Neodiprion lecontei: one gene and its partner. The protein of the gene in region 2 binds, or shares a complex with, the protein of the main gene of each other region. Links are inferred from orthologs where the notes say so. Each region holds a gene or a part of one and is shown on either strand. Other genes may lie near its edges.

The links.
Region 1: protein bicaudal D (region 2) and lissencephaly-1 homolog share a complex: the UniProt entries of both Caenorhabditis elegans proteins name them as parts of the dynein-regulating complex. The link is inferred for Neodiprion lecontei from reciprocal best matches to the Caenorhabditis elegans genes bicd-1 and lis-1.

The regions. Positions count from the first base shown.
Region 1 is NC_060264.1:3,214,763-3,221,249, forward strand, and holds lissencephaly-1 homolog, read right to left. Parts: upstream 4,336-6,487; 5' UTR 4,321-4,335; coding exon 4,277-4,320; intron 4,200-4,276; coding exon 4,046-4,199; intron 3,955-4,045; coding exon 3,748-3,954; intron 3,565-3,747; coding exon 3,301-3,564; intron 3,180-3,300; coding exon 3,033-3,179; intron 2,932-3,032; coding exon 2,583-2,931; intron 2,461-2,582; coding exon 2,387-2,460; 3' UTR 630-2,386; downstream 1-629. Other genes in the region: exosome complex component RRP40, read left to right, coding at 1-317. UniProt on the Caenorhabditis elegans protein: Positively regulates the activity of the minus-end directed microtubule motor protein dynein. May enhance dynein-mediated microtubule sliding by targeting dynein to the microtubule plus end.
Region 2 is NC_060260.1:37,767,636-37,772,924, reverse strand, and holds the start of protein bicaudal D, read right to left. Parts: upstream 3,038-5,289; 5' UTR 2,450-3,037; coding exon 2,240-2,449; intron 1-2,239. UniProt on the Caenorhabditis elegans protein: Part of a complex with dlc-1 and egal-1, which is recruited to the nuclear envelope by unc-83, where in turn, it recruits dynein to the nuclear surface and regulates nuclear migration in hypodermal precursor cells.

The DNA of each region.
Region 1 (6,487 bases), on a different chromosome or scaffold from region 2:
CGGAGTTGATATGCGTCGATTCTCATGGGAAGAAGGGCAAGTTAGGTGTCTTAAGTCCAGATGGGATGCTGTTTGATTGTTCCCTTAGTTTGGCGAGGAAATTGCTTCACCCAAGTTGTCAGCTGTTGACATTGCTTGCCAAAGAACAGGCCTACGAAATCGCCATAGGTATGAATGGAAAGATCTGGATGAAGGCCAGATCAGTCCACGAGACAATAGCGGCTTGCAATGCTATTTTAGCTGCGGAAAACACCCCACCAGCAGAAATGCCAGCCTTGTGTTCGAGTATCGCCCGTAATTTACTCCGAATAAGCTAAGAAAAAGACTAATTCCACAACCCTTGGTGTACATCCAGATATTTTAAGTATTTTATGAAACATGCTTTTTTTTGCAATAAAATCTTCCTTCGATATGAGTGATAATCTACTTAGATTTATTGAAAGCAATAGAGCACACAACAGTCGGCAAAAGATAGTGAGAAAGAATACTCTGTAAGTTAGAATGTAGTTTTTGGAGACAATTTTTTATTAAAGAATATAATACTTTAATACCATCATCGTTTGAGAAGATGAAGACAAAGGACGTAAACAAGGAAAGTAGATGGGCAGGGTACAATATTGAGTGGTTACTATTTTAAAATTAATTATTATTCATCACGTCTATTTGGTTGCAAGTCGTATGTGTGTGCTCTAATTTCTACACGTATTCCAAGTGTTCCTACTCATATTATAACAGTACTATCCTACTTAGTATCCTAGTATACTTCGTTTCACACCCCATTCATTGTTAAGCTACAGAAATTATGATCTCCATACACAAGTGTAATCAATATTTTTCAATTTCACAAATTTTATTGGTAATTTGCTATTAATTTACTGTATATAGTAATATTACGTTAATAATGCACGTCAAGAAGTTTGTCCAGCATTGAAAAAAAGTTGACGTTACAAATTCCAACAAACTTTCCACCGAAATTGAGAAATTAAATCTTGGTAAGAACGCGAAGAATTTAACGTCAAAAATCATTTGAGTAACAGCAGCCAGTCCAACGTTACGCTTGACCATAGATCAAAACGTTATTGGTAAAGAATATTATTATATTACCGCAATTTTCTAATTCAAATTAGTATAATCATAACGATTTCTCATTGCTGGGCAATTAATTGTAATCAAAGTATATGTATACTGGGTTCTTAAAATTTTGTTCAATTTTTTAGTGTGATGAAATAGATAATTTGAGTACAGTAGTCACAATAGGGTATAAGGTAGATTAATGGTTAATATTCAATGTGTAGTAGAATAGTATAGCATAGCAATAGTATATTATACGTGTATGTATATAAATAAAGTAATAGCGTTACGTAAATAGTAGAGCCAGGTCAACTTCAGAACTTCTCGAGCTTAGGTTTTGGATGAAGACTTGCGTTTGGACAATAATCGATGTTCCAGAAGAAACTGTCAAGCTAATTACAGGGTGAAGGATTTTAGAAGTGTATATATGGTATAGTCATTAACGTCCGTTAATGATGATCGATCAACGATCAAGCTCTAGATAATATTTACTTATTCAACGAGGCTACTGTATCTTGCATGCAATTTATTCTATCAATTGATAACATGTTTTGCATCCGCGACAAAAATATGAAGATAGAAAATCACGTCGAACAAGCGATATGTTGTAAAGAATTTGATTCAATCTGGTATTAACTGAAGTCAAAACTGGCTCTAATAATTATCATTTCATAATTTTATCATCAAGCTCAAGAGGCCTCAACAAGAGACTCTGAAACCTTACTTCACGTTTCAAATAACTGTCAGGCGGAAACTCTTCCCGCAAAACGGACTGAAATGAATGAAATTTTTCTCAGGAGTGCATTAAGATAATCGTGGTCTGTATATCCAATAATATATTGTATCACGGCGTGATAAATTTATTCAAAGCTTGATCGCAAAAATATCGAAAGCAGTCAAAGGGCTTTACATTTCGTTACTTGACCGATAGACCTATTTATTGCGCCACTAATCTGGAACTTACAATTTAGCGAACCAATCGAGTCTGCTTGTCTCTTGAAACATTTTTTTCTTACAACAATATCATTGTACACGATAAATTTCTCTATTTTCTTATGGCATACGATACCTCTTCAGAAGCCTCTTAAAGCCGTTTGTAGCCCTTTAATTTGAATACTTTATTACTGTTAAACAATATTATTACAATTACTAATTTATTATACTTTATTATAAATTAATTAAGGATCTCTTAATCGTATATGCTTATGTGTTTTTATAATAGTATGTACGATAGCTTTTCAGCAGCTTACTTCTGTGCCATCCCCATATGGAACTGGACTTTTGTTAAGTTTCAGTAATTTCAGAAACTGGGTGACTAGCGGCATTCCCAAACCTTTACCGTCTGATCCACGCTACCGCTTACCACGTATGGATGGCTCTTGTGAAAATCTACAATACAAAAGATGATGTATATCATGCCTCCATTCTCATAGCGGCTGAAGGGCTAGCCCACTTATTGCAATATTCCCTCGAGTATTTAATTAAAAAGCGGAGAAAACCAAAAAACTCACCAACAGACGTGCAGAAGTGCATGTGTGCCTCAAGCGTCTTCATTGACCGTTTGTTGCGGGTGTCCCATACCCGCAGCGTCTTATCGTCTGATGCACTGACTATATATTTACCACCTGGGTGGAACACTATTCCACGTACCCAGTTATCATGCCCTTGGAGAGTGAATAGACATACCCCAGCCCCAACGTCCCACACGCGTATTGTCTTGTCTCGGGATCCAGATGCCAGGAAGGGTCCCTCGTGTGCCCCTTTATTGTCTGCTCCAGCTGCAGCGTTGATCGCTCCACGCGATGTTTCCGGGGCCCACGCGATACATTCCACAACATGATCGTGGTCCCTCAGTTCGACCTGTAAGGAACCAAGTATAGTTTATATCATGTTATTCATAGGATTGATTATTTACTGGATAAAAATTAATGGAGGGTACAATTAAGGAGCATTTTTAGTACCTTGGTTTCTTTAGTTGCAACGTGCCATACCCTGACAGTCTGGTCGTTTGAGCAGCTTGCAATCAGTTCGCCGCAAGGACTCACCCGTGCCATACGGACCCATTCTCTGTGCCCCGCAAGCGTTTTTACACAATAACCAGTAGCAACCTATGACCAAACAAATTGGTGATATTAAATCGTTTGTCACATACAATCCTTTCTCTAAAAGAAATATCAAGAGAAATACCATAACTGCTTTTCAGTGTGAATTTTGCACCCTACTCCTTACCTCCCACATTTTTATGGTCTTGTCCCGTGACGCGCTGACAATAAAGTCTCCTTGCGGCATGAATGCTACCGAACTAACGTTGTGGTCATGCCCGTGCATCGTCTTGATGCAGGCAAATGACTGTTGAAAGTCCCACAGCTTGATTGACATGTCAGCGCTGCAGGATACCAAGAGCTTTCCAGTAGTATCGAATGCAATATCTTGAACACTGTCCGTGTGGCCTTTGAGTGTTCGCTCAAATTCTCCGCTTTCGAAATCCCACACCTAGGGAATATTAATAATTCAAATTCTGCGGGTATACATGAGATATACACGTGGGAGTTGTACAATTGAGGAGGTTCATAATCAAATATATTTACATGTGACAATTTTACACGGTATTGTTAGCCAAGAATGATCAAGGAGATCCTACTTGCACATGCCATGTTAAATTGTATTGAAACTCACCTTTAGCGTGGCGTCTTCACTGGCAGAAACCATAAGGCTGAATACTGGGTGGAAAATTACTCTGTTTACAGGCGCCCTATGCCCAGAGAGACAGAACTTTTCAGGTGGCCTCGGAATCCATTCGGTCGGTGATCTCTTACCCCTAGTAGGCGCTCCCTCAATAAATTCTTTTTCTGCCTCTGATAGTTTCGACTCGAGTTCCATGACCTATAAATATGAAATAACATTGGTGGATTTTATCATGTAACATGTATGACCCAAGGTATCCAATTGATGTGAATGGGTATGACATGCATACCTTTTTTTGTAGTCTTATGACTGAAGTCCACTTCTTCTCGAGCAACCCACCGTATTTCCGCTCCACCTCACCAGGCATGTCAGCTTCCTTCTTGAACGCTTCCAGGGCATCTTGATATCCGTTGCTACTCAGATAGTCTGCAATCGCCTTGTTTCTGCAACGTAAATGATTTTTTATTCATTTAACAACTTATCTTGTTCCATATAAATCACAGTAAACTTTTGATCGTACCTGTAGAGCATATACTCATGCAATGAATTGGCAATTTCCACCATCTAGTCTAGTAGGTTGTTGAAAAGGACTGGGGTATTTCAAGTGAATTTTCAATCAACATTATTGAAGTGTTTTATGAGCAACATAAGCATGGAGAATCTGTAACTTTTGTCTATGTATAGCAAAAAGTTCAGTTCTCTTCTCAAAACAATCTACATGAGTGCATTTTTTGTGAGTAGCGGATATTTTTTGGAAAAGTATAATTTCGTAACAAAAATGTTATACTTTCTGATAATATGTATTGTATACTTGGTGATAATTCCAGTTTTGAGCTCGGCACAAGTAAATTTTATGAATGGAAGGATTTCGCGGAATCGAAATTTCCTTACATTTCATTACACAGTATATTTAAAATTTGAGTAAAAAAAAGTTGAATATTTCTATTGATTGGCAAAATCTGAAACCATACAGGATGCAAAACTCTTGTCTATCATACCAAACGGTAAAAAGGACAATTCTCTTATACCAAAACCCTAACTTCAAACCTAAGTTGGGTAAGGGGTCGAGTTCTGAACGAATCGTCGAAAATACATCGATACTTCGAACCGTGTGTAACGTAAAATACATTGACGATAACAGAAATGTACTATAGATACGCGTGAAATGAAAGTGAGAAAATTCTGACGGGATTAACAAAGGTTGATGAATTCCCGAAGAGATGGAATCAAAATCGAGATAATTACAAAGTTCTACTTGAACGCGCGTTTCCCGAATTATTTGGTTTTCCGTCGTGTTCCTACATGCTTCGAAACCCTTAGGAGTGCGGCGAAAAACACCGCCTAGCGCCTTCACAATCGATCTTTCTTTAAATTCTGCAGCATCAATGAGCAAGCCAAGCATCGTAGTATAATTCCGGTCTATAGGCGGTAAGCACCGGCAGGAAAGGTTGAGGGTGACGTCAGTCAGGGTGGGCGGGTCGAAAGCCACCACGCGGATACGCGGCCGGCGTCGGCGCGAGCGACGGCAGAGGGATGAAGGGGAGCGTGTTATTGATCCCTTTCAGGATCGCATCCCTCCGTGACGCCCGCGCACGACTGAATAATAACGCGTAGCCGCCGACTGGATGAACAGACGAATGATGACTATAAAAACCGTTCCAGCGAGATACCGAGATACATAGAGACTTACAACTCCTCCCGCTGACGTTGAGACAAGACCATTTTCATGATCCTCGGATGACCTGGATAATCCTTAGTAACTCGGGTGCAGATCTGGGCTTCAAGGACCTCACCGCAAGCTTCGGGGCTCCTCCAGCCTCGACTCAGTACTCTGCCGCGGACGTCATCATCTGCAAGCAGATAATGAAGTAGCGTCGGTTGTAATGAGAAAATCACAGCGTCCCCCCTCTTGCAACTCTGTCACGTCGTCCGTTTTTCGGTTCTTCTCCTAGAGCGATGATGGTATAAGTTTTCAATTCGAAGTAATCAATTTGTATCGCTCGTTTAATTGTTTAACAGGTGTAAATATATTTAACGAGCAATCCAATAAGAGCGCGAACGACGCACGCCGCGTAAATTACACCCGGCATTAGCCGTGCAATTCAACTTGAATCACGCAGTTCATTTTATATACACGTAAAATAATATCCATTGATACTTTCACCTGTATCTCGTGTCCTCGACCACCATCAGACTATCGACCATCGCCGTCAATTCATAAATTAAAACCGAATGAGTAGAGTAACCGGGAAGGTGGGACAAAAGCGCTATTCGGCGTCACCGATTCTTCTTACGTCATGCAAGAATTTTAGCAGCGAACGGAACGATTTCTGTACTGCTGGCACACGTTTCGCACGTGTGCGTGCCGTTTAACTTTTCTCAAGTCTCGGAAGCGCGACCATTATATCTTATGTCCAATGCCCACGTGCTGAAGGCAGGCATTCGTAAGTGCGTAATATGAAGTTATAAAATGTGAAAAAATGTCTCACAAAGGAGGACCGGATACAATTTTCACCAACAAAAAATCTTGGTTTTTGTATACCATAATTTTTTATACACTTGACAAGACGGCGTGCAAAATCGATGCCAAAGATGCACGAGACGCAAATTGAAAACCAGACGTGGACGTATGCGGAAATCGTAAATTCTCGAGTAAACATTGAAATTTGGAGACCTTGATAAGTCGCAGTCTCCGAAGACGGGCGCCTAGTCGTCGCCCCCGCATGCCACG
Region 2 (5,289 bases):
GATTGAAGTTCATTACATTTACATTCAAGCATTTGCGTGATGACTTTTCGGATCTTATATCGCACATAATAATAGCGCAATGATAGAATATTGAGCTAAATATTATAGTCAATATTTCCAGACTTTCCCAAGATTAAAGATTCCATTTTCTGGTATGTATTTTCCGAGTAACTTCGATGCTTGATTGACAGTGCATTGCAGAAGAATATTTTTTCAAAACAAAAGCTTCAACGAGGATATAAATAATAATTCTTTATTTGTGTTTTAACTGAGTACAGACGCTTCGATAAATTTATACAGTACTGTTTATAATACATACAGCTTTTATTCTCTTTGTATGTTTTCTGTCTATTAATTCTCAATATTTTTTCACAAGATAGCAAACTGTTTTTAATAGGTAGACAAAAAAAAAAAATTGAATAACAATTCCAACCAAAAGAGGTCAAATGATCAAAAAATTATGAGATCGGTAAAATTTCCAGAAAATGATATTCGTTCATAAAATTCAAGATATATCTTTAGGACCGCTGGTATGTCAAGAACCATTGAAAATTCTATTCAATAGTTGGAACAAAAATATCTAGATGTTTTAATTTTGTTCAAATTACTTTTAAGGAAGACAGTAATCAAGATAGAATTTCACAAGTCTGAGTCACCATAATGAAATGAGTAGGCGATTCTGTTTTTACCTGAAGGTCGTATGACGGGCACTAGTGACAACGATCCACAAGTCAAGTTTGCTAGCTTGTATGGAAATTATTATTACATCATGGATCACAGTTAATTTTTATCTGAAGCTTAAGTGGAAAATAGAAAAAGTGAAGCGCAAGAAATTCACCTTTACTCGCAGGATCAAGTAAACAAGAAGAAATATGTCTTATGAAATTTATTGTCTCTTCAATTAGCAAAATGGGTTCTGACTAGTCCGATAATAAAACCGAGAATAGAGTCTAATTTCTGAAATGAAGTCAGGCAATAGGGCTTTGATTGATTTATAGACCCTTTGAATGTCTGGCTCAGACTAATCTCATTGACGATTATTCAATTAGTGTTCCCCACAATGAGTATTCGGCAAATTTTCCATCAAAATTAGACCAAAGCGAAATTTTACAACGCAATAATTAAGAGAGTGAAAAACAAACGAGTTTGTGCTCATTTTGAACTTGTTTCTTCGGATATCGCTGCCTGGAATTCGCTTTAATAGTTGTAATATCAAGGAAATGAAGAATCAAAGTCAATGATGAGAAGAATTATAAAAATATTGCAAGCAATCACAGTTAGATCGAAAAAGTGATAAGGATAATGAAATATGTAATATAAGTTTGAGAAATGAAGTGGAATTTATGTTAGATTGTCTTAAGTTAGATTGTATTATATCAGATTGATATGTTGTGTTAGATTGGATTAAGATAATGTTCCGATCAGACAGCAGAAGATTAATAACCAACAATTAGGGTGAAAAACGCTTAATCATTGACATTACTGTGCTACTATTTTAGCGCCAAGAGCACAAAAATCATCCAATTTCAAACAATTATTGCTGATTTTGTCTGGGAAGAGATTTTTCACGACTCTAATGTATTTTTCAGCGAGACATTGGAAATTATTCATTAACTCGATGAAAAAAAATGAGCATCGATTTGCTAAAGTTTATCGAATGACACGCTTTTGGTATTCAAGACCATGTAATTTCTCTCAAAATTTATTTGTAATTGGTGTTGGTGAATTCAGTTCGCGGTGTTTAATTTTGTTCCTAATTCAAGGTGAAACTCAATCGCACAATGAAAACTATTCCTTGGCAAACTTTTTTGCAACGACATGTTCGTTGCTAGACTTGTTGTGCATTAAACAAAAAGTTAGATCAGTATCTGTATCGTGGATGACGCAGAGTGCGAATCAGATAAGACGATCGATAAGTTATCCGTGCAGCTGTTTGAGAGCGAAACACAGAAATCTGACGTACAGCGAAGTGATATTAAAGGGTTAAAAATTGTCTCCGCAGAAAAATTAGGTGTAACCTACTAAATTTCAAGATGGAACGAATGAAGAGACGCCCACGTTAGGATAGATCAATTACCAATGCGGTATTTAGATCAGTTAGAAACTAGTTCCTCGCTAGGTGGAAAAGGTGCGACAGCGAAAGGAACAGAGACAGAGAAAAAAGGATCGGCGAGTGTTCAGTATGTACGGTAAAGGAAGTGGGTGGGCCTCGGTGTCGGAGCCGCGGGGTTATACTAACCTCTTGCGTAATCTCGAGATCGTGCCTGGCGTTTTCATAGAGCGTTTCGAGGTTGTCGCACCTCTGCTGCAGGGTTGATTTCTCCTCAAGAAGGGCGAGTCCGTACTGGGCTGATTGTACCTTCTCGGTTGATGCTAGATCAAGTTCCCTCGACAGCCTCTCGATTTCGGCCCTGAGTTCGTCGGCCGTGGCTCCGTCAGCGGCAGCCATTTCGGCGTGAATATATAAACTGATCACCTCTCCGATCGAGAATCGTCGTGTTTAACCGTTACCGCAAACTGCAACCGAGCGTTATTAATTCTAAACAAACAGCAGTGCCCGACCGCGAGATCATTATCTTGTCATATATCCCGCTCGAATCGGCCCGACTCGTCGTCGTCGTCGTCACTCGCGTATGTTTATTTATTATCAATTCAACTTGATCATCGGCGTAACGTCAGCCGTTTGACAGCGGTCAGCGGGCTAACTTCGCTTCAACACCTGACTGACCCTCGCTTTGCGCTTTGATTATGAAAATTCCACTGCCGACGACGACGACGGCGGACGGGATCAGCGCCGTCTCTTCTTCCCACCGGAAACTAGCTCTCTTCAACCAAGGTAGTCGACTCAGCGATTGATTTCCAATTCTCATATCGCGCTTTGCGCCGATCCGATCTCGTACCCCTGTCTCTTTATCGGATTTGACCCCAATTCAATTTCTCATTCCATTTGCGTCGTCTAGACTTCTGGTTTGTTGTTGCACCCCGGGGAGACCTCCCCCCCTACACGATAAAGAGTTCGTTGAAGCGGGCATTTAGGGGTGGGTGTGTCGTTGTTGCCCGATTAGATCATCGTTTCATCTCCGTATGGTACACGGAAGTTCTAAACGCCGACGAACGGCGCTTTCAGCGCCTCGTGCGGTCGTCAGAAGTTGATCGAGTGATTTGAGTACACTCTGTTTCTCTCGCTCTTCGCTGTGATTGGAGCAGAGACGGTGCTCAGCCAATCACGGCGCAGAGCGAGAGAGAGTGTACTGCGATTGCCTTAACTCGCTCCATGTATGTAACGCACCTTAAAATTGGATCACATGTTCGTTGGCGGGACTTGCAGTTTATTTCAAATGAAGGAAAGAGGTAGGGGAAAAATTGTAACTGCAATTAGTTTTTATTGATTCAAATTTATATTCCATAGCTGTGAGAAATATGTCGGAGAAACAAAATAAAGATTATACGCATTGTTGTTTTTGTTTCCTTTTGTTCTGTTTTCTTTTATGCTAGGTTGCAGTTTTATTTACACATCTATTATTTCTACAGCGTGGAGGATATCGACACATAATATTTTTTATATTATTAAGTATTTTTTTCCGTTTGTTCTTGCGTTATGTAACTAGGATATTATTACCTGTGTACCAAGTGACTTAGTTTTATTATCATTCCTATATCGGCAGAAAATCCTGTAACGAGACATTTCACTTCGAGGAATTCTTTGACCACTACTGCGGATAATAAATTTTGTACAAAAACTTCAACGATTATAAACTTCTCAACATTAAAGTATATGTTGACCGAAGATATATATCCAACGTAGTATGGATTGTATTATGTTTGAAGAAATGTTAATTTTTTTTTTCACACTTTCATTATTACGTGTGCAAATAGAACATGCATATTGTGTGAAATGGAGAAACTTTTATGTATTAAGATTGTATTAAGATATATATATATATATATATATATATATATATATATATATTCCAATGCACCATTCAATACGCAGATCGTTTTTCAGTTGATCTCATCGCATAACTAGCATTATATTTTTAAAAAAAGAAATCGCGTTCATTCTAGGAAACATTCAAGCTTAGGTGTGTTACAGCACCTAAGTATTATGGTTTGTTTAGGTGCGAAATTAGCATATCTGTGGAAATGAATATGTTTTTGGCCATGAAGTATTAATTAATTGGACTTGAGACATTCCACTTCCTAAAAAATATTCCACTATTTGATGCATTTGTTATGCCCCCAAATAGTATAGAATAAATTCTCAACATTTCAAATTGTGGAAAAGTAGAAATTACGTTACATGTATAATCCATGCAATTGTGAATAATTACTTCGCGCTACTATTGAACAGCGATGGATAAGTTTAATAGACAACACACATTTACATAAAAATAATGTGTCGTAGCTTGGAGGTGTAAAAAAAAAACCACCAATCTAGCCACGTGGTGGATAATGAAAGATTCAATTTTTCGCTTTACTCCTTTCAAAGTACGAAATATCTGGATGAGACATGTAACAGATTTCGATGTATGATTATCTAGTATGCCAAAGTGCGTTATTATGCCAAAAATTTAACGTTTGTATACACATTAACGTTATCTTATAATCGTTAGATTGTGATCATATACAAACACATATATAATATGTATATGTATTATTGTATAAATTATGTCAGTTACATTACAGAGAATCGATATCGACAGAAAACTTAATGAAAAATATTTACAAAGCTACGCAATATAAAATATTAATTATTTGTATTTTTGTTATTTTATTATTATTAGAGCTTATTCATAATAGTCTATTAACAACTCATTACTATGGCAAGCGGAAGCTTAAGATCATTTTCAATAATAAAACCACTGTACACTTAAATATTTAAAGTAAATTTAGAACTTTTTTATATAAATACGCATCTAGACAATATATATTATCAGTTGTAGATCATTGTATTATGAACTTCAGGTTTAAGCAAGTATTACGAATAACAATTCGCAAAGAGCAGAGAGGCAAATAATTGCTATATAGTTATAGTTTCAGTATTACAAGCATGTAAATCGGAAATTCACAGAGATTTTAGGTTGCGAACAAAATGATAAAAGTAAACAAGTATTAACAACAATAATAATTCGCAATTGTAAAAATAAAAATCTATTGAAAGTAAAAATAAAATTGCCTTCAAACATGTGAATGGTCCAAGTTTCATTTAATGTAATCTGACAAAAATGAAAAAAAAAAAACTGGGGTATTTTCCTCAATGCATTTTAAAAATAACGAATACACCGAATA